3 linked regions of the Ovis aries genome follow. The protein of the gene in region 1 binds, or shares a complex with, the protein of each later gene. Links are inferred from orthologs where the notes say so. Each region holds a gene or a part of one and is shown in the gene's direction. Other genes may lie near its edges.

The links.
Region 2: the proteins of RAD9A (region 1) and RHNO1 are in contact, whole or in part, in a crystal structure (PDB 8WU8), measured with the Homo sapiens proteins. The link is inferred for Ovis aries from reciprocal best matches to the Homo sapiens genes RAD9A and RHNO1. Residues at the interface, in NP_004575.1 of Homo sapiens: Val41, Ser44, Arg45, Ser46, Ala47, Tyr48, Glu130, Leu132, Gln133, Ala134, Val135, Glu165, Tyr181, Glu183, Thr216, Phe217, Cys218, Gly244, Pro246, Val261, Leu262, Ala263, Thr264, Leu265, Ser266; in NP_001239428.1 of Homo sapiens: Thr88, Lys90, Phe91, Pro92, His93, Leu94, Thr95, Phe96, Glu97, Ser98.
Region 3: the proteins of RAD9A (region 1) and HUS1 are in contact, whole or in part, in a crystal structure (PDB 3GGR), measured with the Homo sapiens proteins. The link is inferred for Ovis aries from reciprocal best matches to the Homo sapiens genes RAD9A and HUS1. Residues at the interface, in NP_004575.1 of Homo sapiens: Leu157, Pro158, Pro161, Val176, Ala186, Lys191, Ala192, Met193, Val194, Thr195, Glu196, Met197, Cys198, Leu199, Gly200, Asp203; in NP_004498.1 of Homo sapiens: Thr84, Asn87, Arg90, Ala91, Lys93, Thr94, Phe110, Ser121, Ser123, Ser126, Arg127, Ile128, Val129, Thr130, His131, Asp132, Ile133, Pro134, Ile135.

The regions. Positions count from the first base shown.
Region 1 is NC_056074.1:41,696,415-41,699,958, forward strand, and holds the end of RAD9A (cell cycle checkpoint control protein RAD9A), read left to right. Parts: intron 1-85; coding exon 86-195; intron 196-311; coding exon 312-567; intron 568-658; coding exon 659-799; intron 800-1,570; coding exon 1,571-1,784; intron 1,785-2,085; coding exon 2,086-2,181; 3' UTR 2,182-3,027; downstream 3,028-3,544. Other genes in the region: PPP1CA (serine/threonine-protein phosphatase PP1-alpha catalytic subunit), read right to left, coding at 3,144-3,254, 3,334-3,468. UniProt on the Homo sapiens protein: Component of the 9-1-1 cell-cycle checkpoint response complex that plays a major role in DNA repair. The 9-1-1 complex is recruited to DNA lesion upon damage by the RAD17-replication factor C (RFC) clamp loader complex.
Region 2 is NC_056056.1:212,716,083-212,719,645, reverse strand, and holds the end of RHNO1 (RAD9, HUS1, RAD1-interacting nuclear orphan protein 1), read left to right. Parts: intron 1-24; 5' UTR 25-108; coding exon 109-279; intron 280-1,844; coding exon 1,845-2,399; 3' UTR 2,400-3,077; downstream 3,078-3,563. UniProt on the Homo sapiens protein: Involved in microhomology-mediated end-joining (MMEJ) DNA repair by promoting recruitment of polymerase theta (POLQ) to DNA damage sites during mitosis.
Region 3 is NC_056057.1:76,188,251-76,192,388, forward strand, and holds the start of HUS1 (checkpoint protein HUS1), read left to right. Parts: upstream 1-1,281; 5' UTR 1,282-1,430; coding exon 1,431-1,482; intron 1,483-1,791; exon of another isoform or gene 1,792-1,924; intron 1,925-2,058; coding exon 2,059-2,186; intron 2,187-2,292; coding exon 2,293-2,469; intron 2,470-4,136; coding exon 4,137-4,138. UniProt on the Homo sapiens protein: Component of the 9-1-1 cell-cycle checkpoint response complex that plays a major role in DNA repair. The 9-1-1 complex is recruited to DNA lesion upon damage by the RAD17-replication factor C (RFC) clamp loader complex.

The DNA.
Region 1 (3,544 bases):
TGCCTCGCTGTCCCGCCTCCAGTTCTCTGAGAGCAAGCCACTGGGCAGGACTGAGCCTCGGGTGAGATACTATGCCCCCTCACAGGGTCCTGGTGGAGGCTGTTCTGCCTTTCCCCCCTGCACTGGCTGAAGTGACGCTGGGCATCGGCCGTGGCCGCAGGGTCATCCTGCGTAGCTACCAAGAGGAGGAGGCAGGTGAGGGGACCGATGGGGCTTGGGGCAGAGAGCAGAGACTGGGTGGGGAGGGTGCAGAGAGCAGAGACAGGCTGGCTGGGGCAGAGCCCAGCTTCCTCCTGTCACTGCCCCCCAAGACAGCGCCATCAAAGCCATGGTGACAGAGATGAGCATCGGAGAGGAGGATTTCCAGCAGTTGCAGGCCCAGGAAGGGGTGGCCATCACTTTCTGCCTCAAGGAATTCCGGGTGAGGTTCCTGCCGTGCGCTCACCGCCCCGTCCACCTCTCCTCCCTGCCCAGCCTCCATGCTCTGCTTCTCCCTTCCCAGGGGCTCCTGAGCTTTGCAGAGTCAGCCAACTTGTCCCTCAGCATTCACTTTGATGCCCCAGGCAGGTAAGGTCCAGCCTTGGGATAGGGAGGGGAGGGCTCTGGGGTGCCAAAAGCCAAAGGGCCTTGACCACGCCTGGACCTGTCACCTGCCCAGGCCAGCCATCTTTGCCATCGAGGACTCTCTGCTGGACGGCCACTTTGTCCTGGCCACACTCTCAGAGCTGGACTCGCACCCCCAGACCCTGCATGCCCAAGAGGAGCTCCAGCGGCCAGAGCCCCAGCTTCAGGCTCACAGGTGAGAGCTCCGCCCGCCCACCCCCCTTCTCACCCTGTGCACCCAGGCTGCAGCCTGCCGCTTCTAGTCTGCAGCCCCCCGCTTCTAGTCTGCAGCCCCCACCCCATGCGCCTCCCATCTCCACTTCCTATTGAGCCCCAGCCCCTACAGTGCTCACTGCTTCCAGCCCTGCAGGCTGAGCCTAACCAGTCAGCTGTATTCAGAGATCCCCCAACCCAGGGAAGTGTCCCCAAGGTCGGGCTGGCTTCCTTCTCTGGCTGAGGCCTCCTCCCAAGCCAAGGAGGGAAAAGGGCTGCCGAGAGGCAGGGGGCTGCCTGGGATGGGGAAAGCAGGTGGCTGAAAGGGCAGGTGGGTTGGGGAGGATGGGCCCAGCGTAGTTTAAGTGGAGGAAGTTTGGCCTGGCCCTCTGCCCAGCATGTCCCTGGGCCCCAGCGCTCTCCAGTTCCTGTCCTCTGGGAATGTGGGGGCTTGGGCCCCAGGTGGCCCAGCTCACTGGACTTGCCGCTCCCCTCCCCCAGCCGAGCTGAAGCGGCCCCCAGTATGCCTCCCTCAGGCCTCTACCTGAACTCTGATAAAAGAATTCTCGGGTCGACCCCCTCCCGGAAGGGGCCACTTAAAACACCGCCCCCCATCCTTTCCCCTCCCACCAAATCAGGAAGTAATAAAACCAAGAGGTCACTAATGGTTACTAGGCTCCTGCAGGCCCTGGCTGAGCCCTCCAGGTGGGGGCCCTAACTGTGTCCCCACCGCTGATACCGTGTCTGCCTGTAGCACGCCCCACGTAGACCTGGATGACTTTGCTGTCGATGACATGGACTCTTACATGATCGCCATGGAAACCACCATGGGCAGTGAGGGCTCTCGGGCACTGCCCTCCATCTCCCTTTCACCTGGCCTCCAGCGCCCCTGTAGCTCCAGCCCCCACTCAGAGGAAGATGACGACATGGAGCCCAGCACAGTGCCTGGGACTCCCCCACCTAAGAAGGTAGGGGCGAGAGGCGGAAGGGCTTCCCTGGTGGCTCCGATGGAAAGACTCTGTCAGCCACGTGGGAGACCTGGGTTCACTCCCTGGGTGGGGAAGATCCCCTGGAGGAGGGCATGGCAACCCACTCCAGGATTCTGGCCTGGAGAATCCCCATGGACAAAGAGAAGCCTGGTGGGCTACAGTCCATGCGGTTGCAAAGTCAGACACCACAAGCGACTAAGCAGGAGGCAGAGGCTGGGATGAGAGGCGGAGGGCGGGAGCAGCCTCCAAACTCACCAGGCTTCCTCTGTTCTCTCGCCAGTTCCGCTCGCTGTTCTTTGGCTCCATCCTGGCCCCTGCACACTCTCCCCAGGGCCCCAGCCCTGTGCTGGCTGAGGACAGTGAGGGCGAAGGCTAAGCCGAGCCAAGAAGGGGCCCGATGAAGCCCCACCCCACCCCTCTCCCAAGGCCAGCCACGGCAGGTCCGCTCTCCTCCTTGGTGGGTGGTAGAGATGCGCCCTGCTGGAGCTTAGCTGACTGGTCCCACCACCTCCCCCAGGGCCTTGACTGGCCTGGGTCTTGTTGTTTCCCTTCAACCCTCAAATCTTTCATTCAACCCTCAATCTATCATGTCTGTTCCCAGTCTCGGTGCTGAGCTGCCCTCTGCAGGGAGTTCCCTCACCTCTTAATCCAGTTCTGTGGCCAGAACTGGAGGACTGCCTTCTCTAAGCCCACCTCCCTAAGAAACAAAGAAATCATTGTAGGGCTTCTGCCCCTGCTGATCCACCTTCTGCCAATCATGACCTGTCCCTCCCTCAAATCCTGAGCACACCACTGGGATCCCCTGTGACTGGCACACACTGCTTGCTTTCCCTGAACTCTCTGGCCCTGGCTTGGAAATTCCAAGAGCCCCTGCGGACCTGGGCACGTGGCTGGGGTTTTCCTGGCTGGGGCCCGAAGCCCAGCAAGCCTCCCAAGTGGCTCTGGGCGGAAGAGTTGCCAGGCCCAGTGTTTGGGACAAGGGAGACAGGCTATGGCAAGAATCCAGCTTTGACCTTTATTCAAGAGACCAGATGGGTTGCCCCAGGATCCGGCTGCCAGCCCTGAGGCCAAGCAAGGCTGGAGATCCCCAATCTGGCCCTGCTTTGCCCTGAGCTGCAGCCTTAGCCCCAGGATCCTGCCTGCAGCCGCTGTAGGTACAAGCGGGAAGACCCCTGGGGGACTGGATGCTGCTATTGATTCATAAAAAAAAAAGAGAAAAATACACCAAGCCTCCATGTTCCCCGTGATGGGTGGGCCTGGGGGGCCAGCACGAGCCCCCTGTAGCCACATGATTTCTGTACAATCCACCATCTGGGGCAGAGGGCGGGCACACGGAGGCTATTTCTTGGCTTTGGCGGAGTTGCGGGGTGGGGTGATGGGCCGGCCTCCAGGGTTCAGGCCACTGAACTGCCCATATTTCCCCTTGTTCTTGTCGGCGGGCTTGAGGATCTAGAAGAGAAAAACTGGTCAGGCTTAAGGGGTCAAGCCGTAAGTCCCTGGGCCTGCCTGCCCCCGGCCCGACCCCCACCTGGAAGGAGCACATGAGCGTCTCGTCCACGCTCATCATGGCACCTGCATTGTCAAACTCGCCGCAGTAGTTGGGGGCTGAGAAGAGTGTCACCAGCTGCCGCTTGGCAAAGAACTCGTAGCCGTCTTCTACTACCTGGACGAGGGTGGAGGCGGTTAGTTCAGCAGGAGCTGGCTGCCAGCCCTGCTCTAACCCAGATGGGGGCTGCCAG
Region 2 (3,563 bases), on another chromosome or scaffold:
CTGGCATTTGTTTCTTCTCTGCAGGCATGGGTTGGAAGTGGAGCCTCTCCCCGGACCTGCCGACAGCCAGCATCATGCAGTTGCTAACTGCTCTTCTCTCACCCGTTGATGCCTCCCAGGAAAAAGCGCCGCCAAGCTGCTCAGAAACCCCAGCTGCTATTCCACCAACAACCACTGGAGGGCCCCAAACACCGCGGTCAATCTCCCCAGCCTCCCGTGGTCACCCGCACTAGACAGGTGCCCAGCAAGCCTGTGGACCACAACACCATCACTTCCTGGGTAGGGTTCCTGCCTTGATTTCTGCTCTGCCAGGCTTCTCAAGAGTGCGTACTCTGCCCCGTGACCAGGGCTGCCAAAGAATTAGGAGCCTCACGGACTCAGCGACAAGGAGGCAGTGTTCACTCTCCCGCTGTCCTCAGCCATCTTCTCTGCTGTATCCTTTCGCCTAAGTTCAGGCTCAGGCATGGGTGGACTGGAATTGGAGTCTTTCCGCACCAGTGCCCCTGAAAGAGTTCAGTATAAAAGTATCCAGAAAAGCCGGGTGAGAAAGCCAGATAAATGGCAGAATGAATGAAAAATGAGATTGTTTCCTGAGCTTCATGTTAGAGGTGGAATTTTTAGCTAAGTAGTCTATTTACTGTTTTGGGGTTTTTTTTAAAGATTTTTTTTTAATGTGGACCATTTTAAAAGTCTTTATTGAATTTGTTAGAACATTTTTTCTATTTTATGCTTTGGTTCTTTTTGGCCAGAAGGCCTGTGAGATCTTAACTCCCCAACCAGGGCTGGAATGCACACCTCCTGCATTGGAAATGGAGAGTCCCAAATGATGGACTGCCAGGAAAGTCCTTCTGTTTACTGTTTAATGGACCAAACAGTGAAGAAAAACTCTCAGAAATGGCATGTGTTCTGTCTTGACAGTTTAGAAGCCCCAGGAAGAGAACACAGCTACAGGATATCAGAAAGTGGTGTAGCAGAAGAGCCAGACAAAAGCCTGAGCTCTGCCCCAGAGCGCCTAACAGATGTGGTCCAGGATTGTTGGGGAGAACTGGACCCCTGGCTTCAGGAGTGGGGAGGAAGCGTAGATGTTGGAGCGCTGTTGGTGGGAGGAGGCATGAGCACACAGAGGCGTACGGAGTCCTCACCATGCGCCAGGCTCTGCTCGCTGCTCTCCATTGCCTGATCTCACTCACTGGTCTGCCTTCAGCCCTTTCTTCCTACACTGGGGTCCTCTAGGTGCCAGGCGCTCTGCTAGGTGCTAGGCATCAGTGGTGAAGAAGACAGCTGGGCCCACCCTCAGAACTGAAAGGGAGATGGTTAAATGTGTTGCAGCCATAGGGTGTGATGAAGCCAGGGAGACTGAGAAACTTGCCCAAAGCCCGCATCCCTTCCTATGGTTATCCAGTAAGACAGAGAGCTGTTGTTTTCTTGGCCGTGCTGGGTATTTGCCGCTACACCTGGGCTTTCTCTAGCTGCAGCCAGCAGGGGCTGCTCTTCATTGTAATGCACAGGCTTCTCACTGTGGTGGCTTCTCTTGTTGTGGAGCACGGGCTCTAGGTGCTCAAACTTCAGCAGTTGTGGCTCTTGGGTTCTAGAGCTGGACTTGGTAGTTGTGGTGCATGGATTTAGTTGCCCTGCAGCATGTGGGATCTTCTCAGACCAGGGATCGAACCCATGTCCCCTGCGTTGGCAGGCAGGTTCTTATTCACTGTGCCACCAGGGAAGTCCCTAGGCAGCTGTTTTAAGTCCATTGCTGTTGTGGGCCTCTATTTAGGATTCTGGCCATCTGATGCAGTTTCCTTAGGTTAGCATGCTTCCCATTTATGTCTTTCTTTTGGAATCCTTAGGTATCACCTCAGTTTGATACAACAGCAGAAAGCTGGTTCCCAGGCAACCGGAAGCATCATCTTCGAGACCATGCAAGGCGTTCAAGTCGAAAATCTACCAGCTCCAGGTTTCCATGTCTAACGTTTGAGACTCCACAGTCTTTTGCCAGTTCAGCCACACCCAGGATCCCGGCAATCGGGGATGGCCCCAGTCAACCAGAAAAGGACATTTCCGGAAGGCCCTTAGTGCCCATGCTCAGCCCCCAGAGCTGCAGGGAGCTGTCGGCACACACATTTCCAGACTTCCCATGTGCATTCATTCCCCCGGACATCCAGACCCCAGGATCCCCGGGGCAGGGAGAGCCCATTCCCTCTGAACTGAGGGAAAACAGCCTTCCCAGCTGTTCCCTTCACTCGAGCACGCCGAAGAGCCCAGAGCCTGGGCCTGTTCTGGTTAAAGACACCCCAGAGGAGAAGTACGGGATAAAGGTCACATGGAGGAGGCGACGACACCTCTTCGTGTACCTCAGGGAGAGGGGAAAGCTGAACAGAAGCCAGTTCCTCGTGAAAGACTGACTGGTTTCCCAGACATCTGTGGTCTCAAGAAATTGATCACTGGAGTCAAAAGGGAATTGAATTCCCAGATTTGCTTTTTAAAATATCTTGTGTCATAAACAGTTTTTAGTATCGTAAACAGTTGACTTCATATTTTTAGTGTATTAACTGTTTAACAAATTTTAAATATAACCGTTTAGAATGTCTGTAAATAAATGGCTGCAGAGTTTTTAGAGAACCCTGCTTCTGACCTACACTAATGCAGCAATACTGCCTCCCCCTCCCCCCATAAATGGTCATTCTTAATTGTTCCCTTTAGCCACTATCTATTCATTCTTTTAGTCACCTCATTCAAAGTAATTCAGTCCACATGTTTGAGGACCAGCTCGGTGACTGCTTCCTTTTTGACCCGGTACATGGAAAAACTTGGAGCAGACTGTGACTTTTCCTAGTTGAGCTGCTGTCCCTGCAGTCTTGGCTCATCTGAGAGGGCAGAGTGAAGAGAGAGCAGCAAGCATGTAATAAATACGGTGAAGGGGGGTTGCTGGGGAGATAAAGGGGACATGATTAAGTTACCTAGGGTTGCTATGTTTTGATTTTTTTGTTTCCAGTTGAAATAACCTGTAAATATTAACTAGGGTGGGGAAATGATTTCTTGTCCTGTTTAAAATGTAAATAAATCTGTAATCTTTTCAAATACTACTTCTTACTGTAATTAATGCAGAGGGACTGTCCAGTCAAGAAAATATCTTACTTTTCCTCCCACCCATACAAGTATCTTCTCATTTAACTCCATTGCCTCAGCCTTCAGAACGTAGTCTGTCAGGTCCAGCCAGAGCAAGACAAGCAGGGATTATTTTCAATGTGGGGATTTGAAGCACAGATAATGAACCGGGTTTAGGGTCACACAGTGAGTGGAGGCTGGCCGGCGAGCACAGACCTCGGCTCTCCTAGCTTGTGCCACATTTTCTGCGTTTTAAAAACTCAAAACGTGGACGCCACACTAGCTTCCGAATCGAACGCCGCAAAGTCAACATGCGATGAGTTTTGACAGGATGTTCTGTAGGGCCCGTAAAACTGCGAATAAATTGGGGACAAGATTTACTGGATCCGACAGCGGATCTCATTACGAGATACAGACGTTAGAAGACGGCGGCAGGCAGTCAAGGGCGGGAGATGGAAAAG
Region 3 (4,138 bases), on another chromosome or scaffold:
CAGTGTTGTCAACTACAAATTGGCACTTACCAACAGCATTGCCAAGGACTGAACAACAAAGGCGTTTGCCATCTGCCTCTACGGAGATTGAACCCCATGCTGCTAAAGCTGTTGACCTTCAACAACCTCTGAGGGAGTTTAGGGTGGAGTGAGGCACTCTTGTGTTCCAAGGAGTCTGGTGGGACAGGTCTTTAAATAGCTGGATGTTTTTAGGAACAGATTTTACGGTCTCAATCCTTGTAGCTCCTCGTATCTAGAGATATCAGATCCTCGTGACGAACAAAAAACCTTTTGTAAAATGAGTGTTTCATGGTATTGAACTCCCCCTTCACCAAAACCTTATATATTGACTCTCTGCCACTGCCGCTTTGGAGTAGTCTCTCAGAACTATCTGAGATGGGAGAGCTATCTGCAGCCTCCAGGGCTGCAGTCCTCATTTTGCCCCAAATAAAATTCACAACTCTCAAGTTTTACATCTTTTTTTAGTCAACAGTGTTGTTTACAACATCCAGTGTTTAGCACTGTTTGTTAAAACAAATTTCAAAGCATAATCCAACGTGGTGCTACAGTGCTGAGGTACCAGTGTGAATGTCTGAGCCATGAAAGGTTCTAAAGCTCCCCTACCACAGAGCGGTGTGTATTTAAGGAATAGCTTAACACTTTATAAATAAGAGACTTGTCAGGGGAGTGTTATCTCCTCGGTTCCGTCTTGTCACAACAAAAATTTGCAGCGACGGACGTTAAAGCGTGCCACAGCTCTCAGACTGTGTTATAGCTCTCAGCTAGACCATGTTATAGCTCTTGGACAGATCAGTGTTACAGCTCAGTTTTATTTAGAAAATAAAAGGAAATATATCCTCAAGGCATGAGGGCATGACGACCCAAAAGACGCTAAGAGAAGAAAGAGCAAGCACGCGCGCTTGGGAGACCCCCGGCCCTTTGGCTCCTCTGTTTATAGGTATTTTCCTTCCCCTGGGAACTTCCCTATTTAAATTGGGCTAGCCAGGAGTGCTGTTTTTTCTACCTGAAGTCCTCACTCTGGTCCTTGAACCTTCCTTTGTTCTATTTTCGCGGGCTTTTCCCTTCCTTGTTTTTTAGCCACCGCCATTCTGGACTCCTTTTTCCTATTCTAACTACCTAGCAAGACTGATTTTATTTCCTATGTTCTAAAACAGAATTGGAAATAAGTTAACACAAAGCTCAACCTGTAAAAACTCAGAGGCACTTCCGGTACCAGAATCGCGTCACTTCCGGCAGAGTTCCCGTCATCCCGAGTGCGCCAGCGGAAAAGCCCGCCTACTCTCCGCAGGCGCGTCTCAGGCCCAAGTGGGCTGAACCCAGTACTGCGGTGGCGTTTCCCGCGGGCTAGTTAAGGCGGGACTCTCACGAGTCCGGTGCGGACGGGCTCCTGGCGCTTGCCATGTCCAGCCATGAAGTTTCGGGCCAAGATCGTGGATACCGCCTGTCTAAACCACTTCACGCGTGAGTAGGGGCCGCGTCAACCCTGGGGTCGGGGAGGACTGCAGAGGGCAAGGCGGGAGGCTTGCACGGAGCGGTGCGTGCGGCCGGTCCCCGCGAAGAGGCTGGCGCGCTGCACAGGCTGGCCAGCAGCAGCTTGACGCGGGCGCAGGTGCTGAAGGTTGTTTATGAGCTTTGATTCCTTTCGCGTGGCTTTTCTTAACTCGGCCAGTGGCTTCATGGACCACTTTATCTGGCGCAGGCCGCCCTTCACAGCCAGGCTCCGTGGTCCCCCTGCCCCAGCCGTGTCTGTCCTTGCCTTGATCCCTGCAGCACTCGGCGGCCCCGAGTGGACGTGAAAGGGAAGAAAGCGGCCAGTAGGCGCCAGTTAACCTCCGAGTCTCAGTTTCCTTATTCCAGGTTGTTGGGAGGCCAGCTTGACCCCAGCGGCAATAAAAGCCTCCCGGTAGGTAGGAGTGGAAACGTTGACTTTCCCGCTGGGAAGCTCACTGTGCGCAACTGGTAATTCTGCGCTAAATTGGTGTTTTGGATACCTAACGTACCTCTCAGTCAACTCTTTACTGAAACCTTTTGCTATAGGCGTTAGTAACATGATAGCCAAGCTTGCCAAAACCTGCACTCTGCGCATCAGCCCGGATAAGTTGAACTTCGTCCTCTCTGACAAAGTGGCCAATGGAGGGGTGAGCATGTGGTGTGAGCTGGAACAGGTGAGTGGAGGCTCCTGAGAGGCCTGCAGCCCACCCCTCTTCCCCCACCCTCGCCGAATTCCAATGGAAAGCGCGCAAATGTCCCTCCTCCTTTTCTTTCCCTTAGGAGAACTTCTTCAGCGAATTTCAAATGGAAGGTGTCTCCGCAGAAAACAATGAGATTTATTTAGAGCTCACATCGGAAAATTTATCTCGAGCCTTGAAAACTGCCCAGAATGCCAGAGCTTTGAAAGTTAAGCTGACTAATAAACACTTTCCCTGCCTTACAGTTTCTATAGAGCTGGTGAGTAGGAAGCTACCATTTCTGAAACTTCCCAGGAATTAGTAGTTATATAAGCCTTGGCTTTCTACTGGAGAAGCTAATTGGTTTTATTAAAAGGAGAGATTGGTACATCACTATTTTTTCATTGGAGTTGGGTCCTCCTCGTATTTAAATAGCATTGTGATCTCAAAATCAGCGAGGATGCTGGTCTTCCTATGAAATAACACTTCTGCATCTTTCTTCTCAGATCTGCATATCCCAGCATGTCCATTTCTTTTAGTGGTATTGTCGTCTAGTCTAAAAACCATTTTTGCCTTTGAAGTGTTTGTGTGTCCCTCCCTTATTCCCTCACTTCTGCTGCTAACACCTTTAAATGACCTTTAGTTTTCAAGGAATACATTTATCTTCCACCCTACTCCCAGCTGAATTTAATGCACTGGTCTCTTCAGAACACATGTACTCCACAGGGTCTCACTGCTTACAGAATGAGGTTGACATTTCTCATGTGCTGTCCAAAGCCTTTCAAGTGTCGCTCAACCCACTGTAGAGCCACTTATCTGCCCTGAGTGGGTGCCCAGGTGTGTCCCATTCGTTCCCAACTCCCAGGCTTTGGTGAGGTTGGGTCATCTCCTTGGACTCTGTGTTCTTCTCACTTGTTGAAGCCTTTTCTTCCTCTAGTGCCCAGCACCAATGCTGCCTCCTTCCCTTATCCTGGTAACCTCTCCTTTGTCTGTTCTGTGTACTTTATTTTTTCCGTGAGTATTATATTCAGTTTTATGCTCTTTATGGAGGAGGATTTCTCAACTGTATTTTTTAATTAAACTATAGTGGTTTTACAGTGTTGCACTGTTAATTTATGCCTTACAGCAAAGTGATTGAGTTATACATATATAAGTATTCTTATTTAAGTATTCTTTTCTATCCCGGTTTATCTCAGGATATTGAATATAGTTCCCTGTGCTATGCAGTAGGACCTTGTTGTTTATTCACTCTATATGTAATGGTTTCCATCTGCTAATCTCAAACCCCTAGCATCTTAAGGCGATTTCTGGCGGCCTCCTCCAGTCCTCTCTTTAGGTCTGATTTCTGAAGCTTGAGCATCAGCTCACAGCTTCTGCCTACACGGTTGGACGTGTGTCTGAGGCTGGGAGTGTGGGGAAAGTGGCATCACCAGTCTGTGCAGGGCTGTCTTCATTCTGCCTTCTGTAAACTGCTTAACTGCACTCTCCTCCAAGGCTCCACAGCTCACCCTCTGTCCCTGCTGGTCTCCCTGCCTTCCTGTGAGGGGACAGTCAGGGTATGGGAACCTTTATTCCTTCATAGCTCTTTCTCCCTGGGGTGCAGGCCCCGTCCTGATTCCTTTCTGGTTTTTTTTGTTGTTACATGAAGATTTTCTTGTCCTTTCTGAAGCCTGAGTTCTTCTGCCATGTTTCAGTAGATGTTCTGTGAGAATCATTCCATGTCTAGATATGTTTTTGATGTGTTTGTGGGAGGAGTGAGCTCCATGTCCTACTCCTCCACCGTCCCAATCACTCTCTTCTTTAACTTCCTTTTTCTAAGCTCTGTTAATACTTGTTGAATGGACGTTGGTGACTGAATTGAGAACACTTAGGTTTGGTATCAACATTTTTTGTCTTTCAGTTCTTTATTTTTTAAGTAGTGATGTGTTTTAATTCTTCTCTTGGCAGTT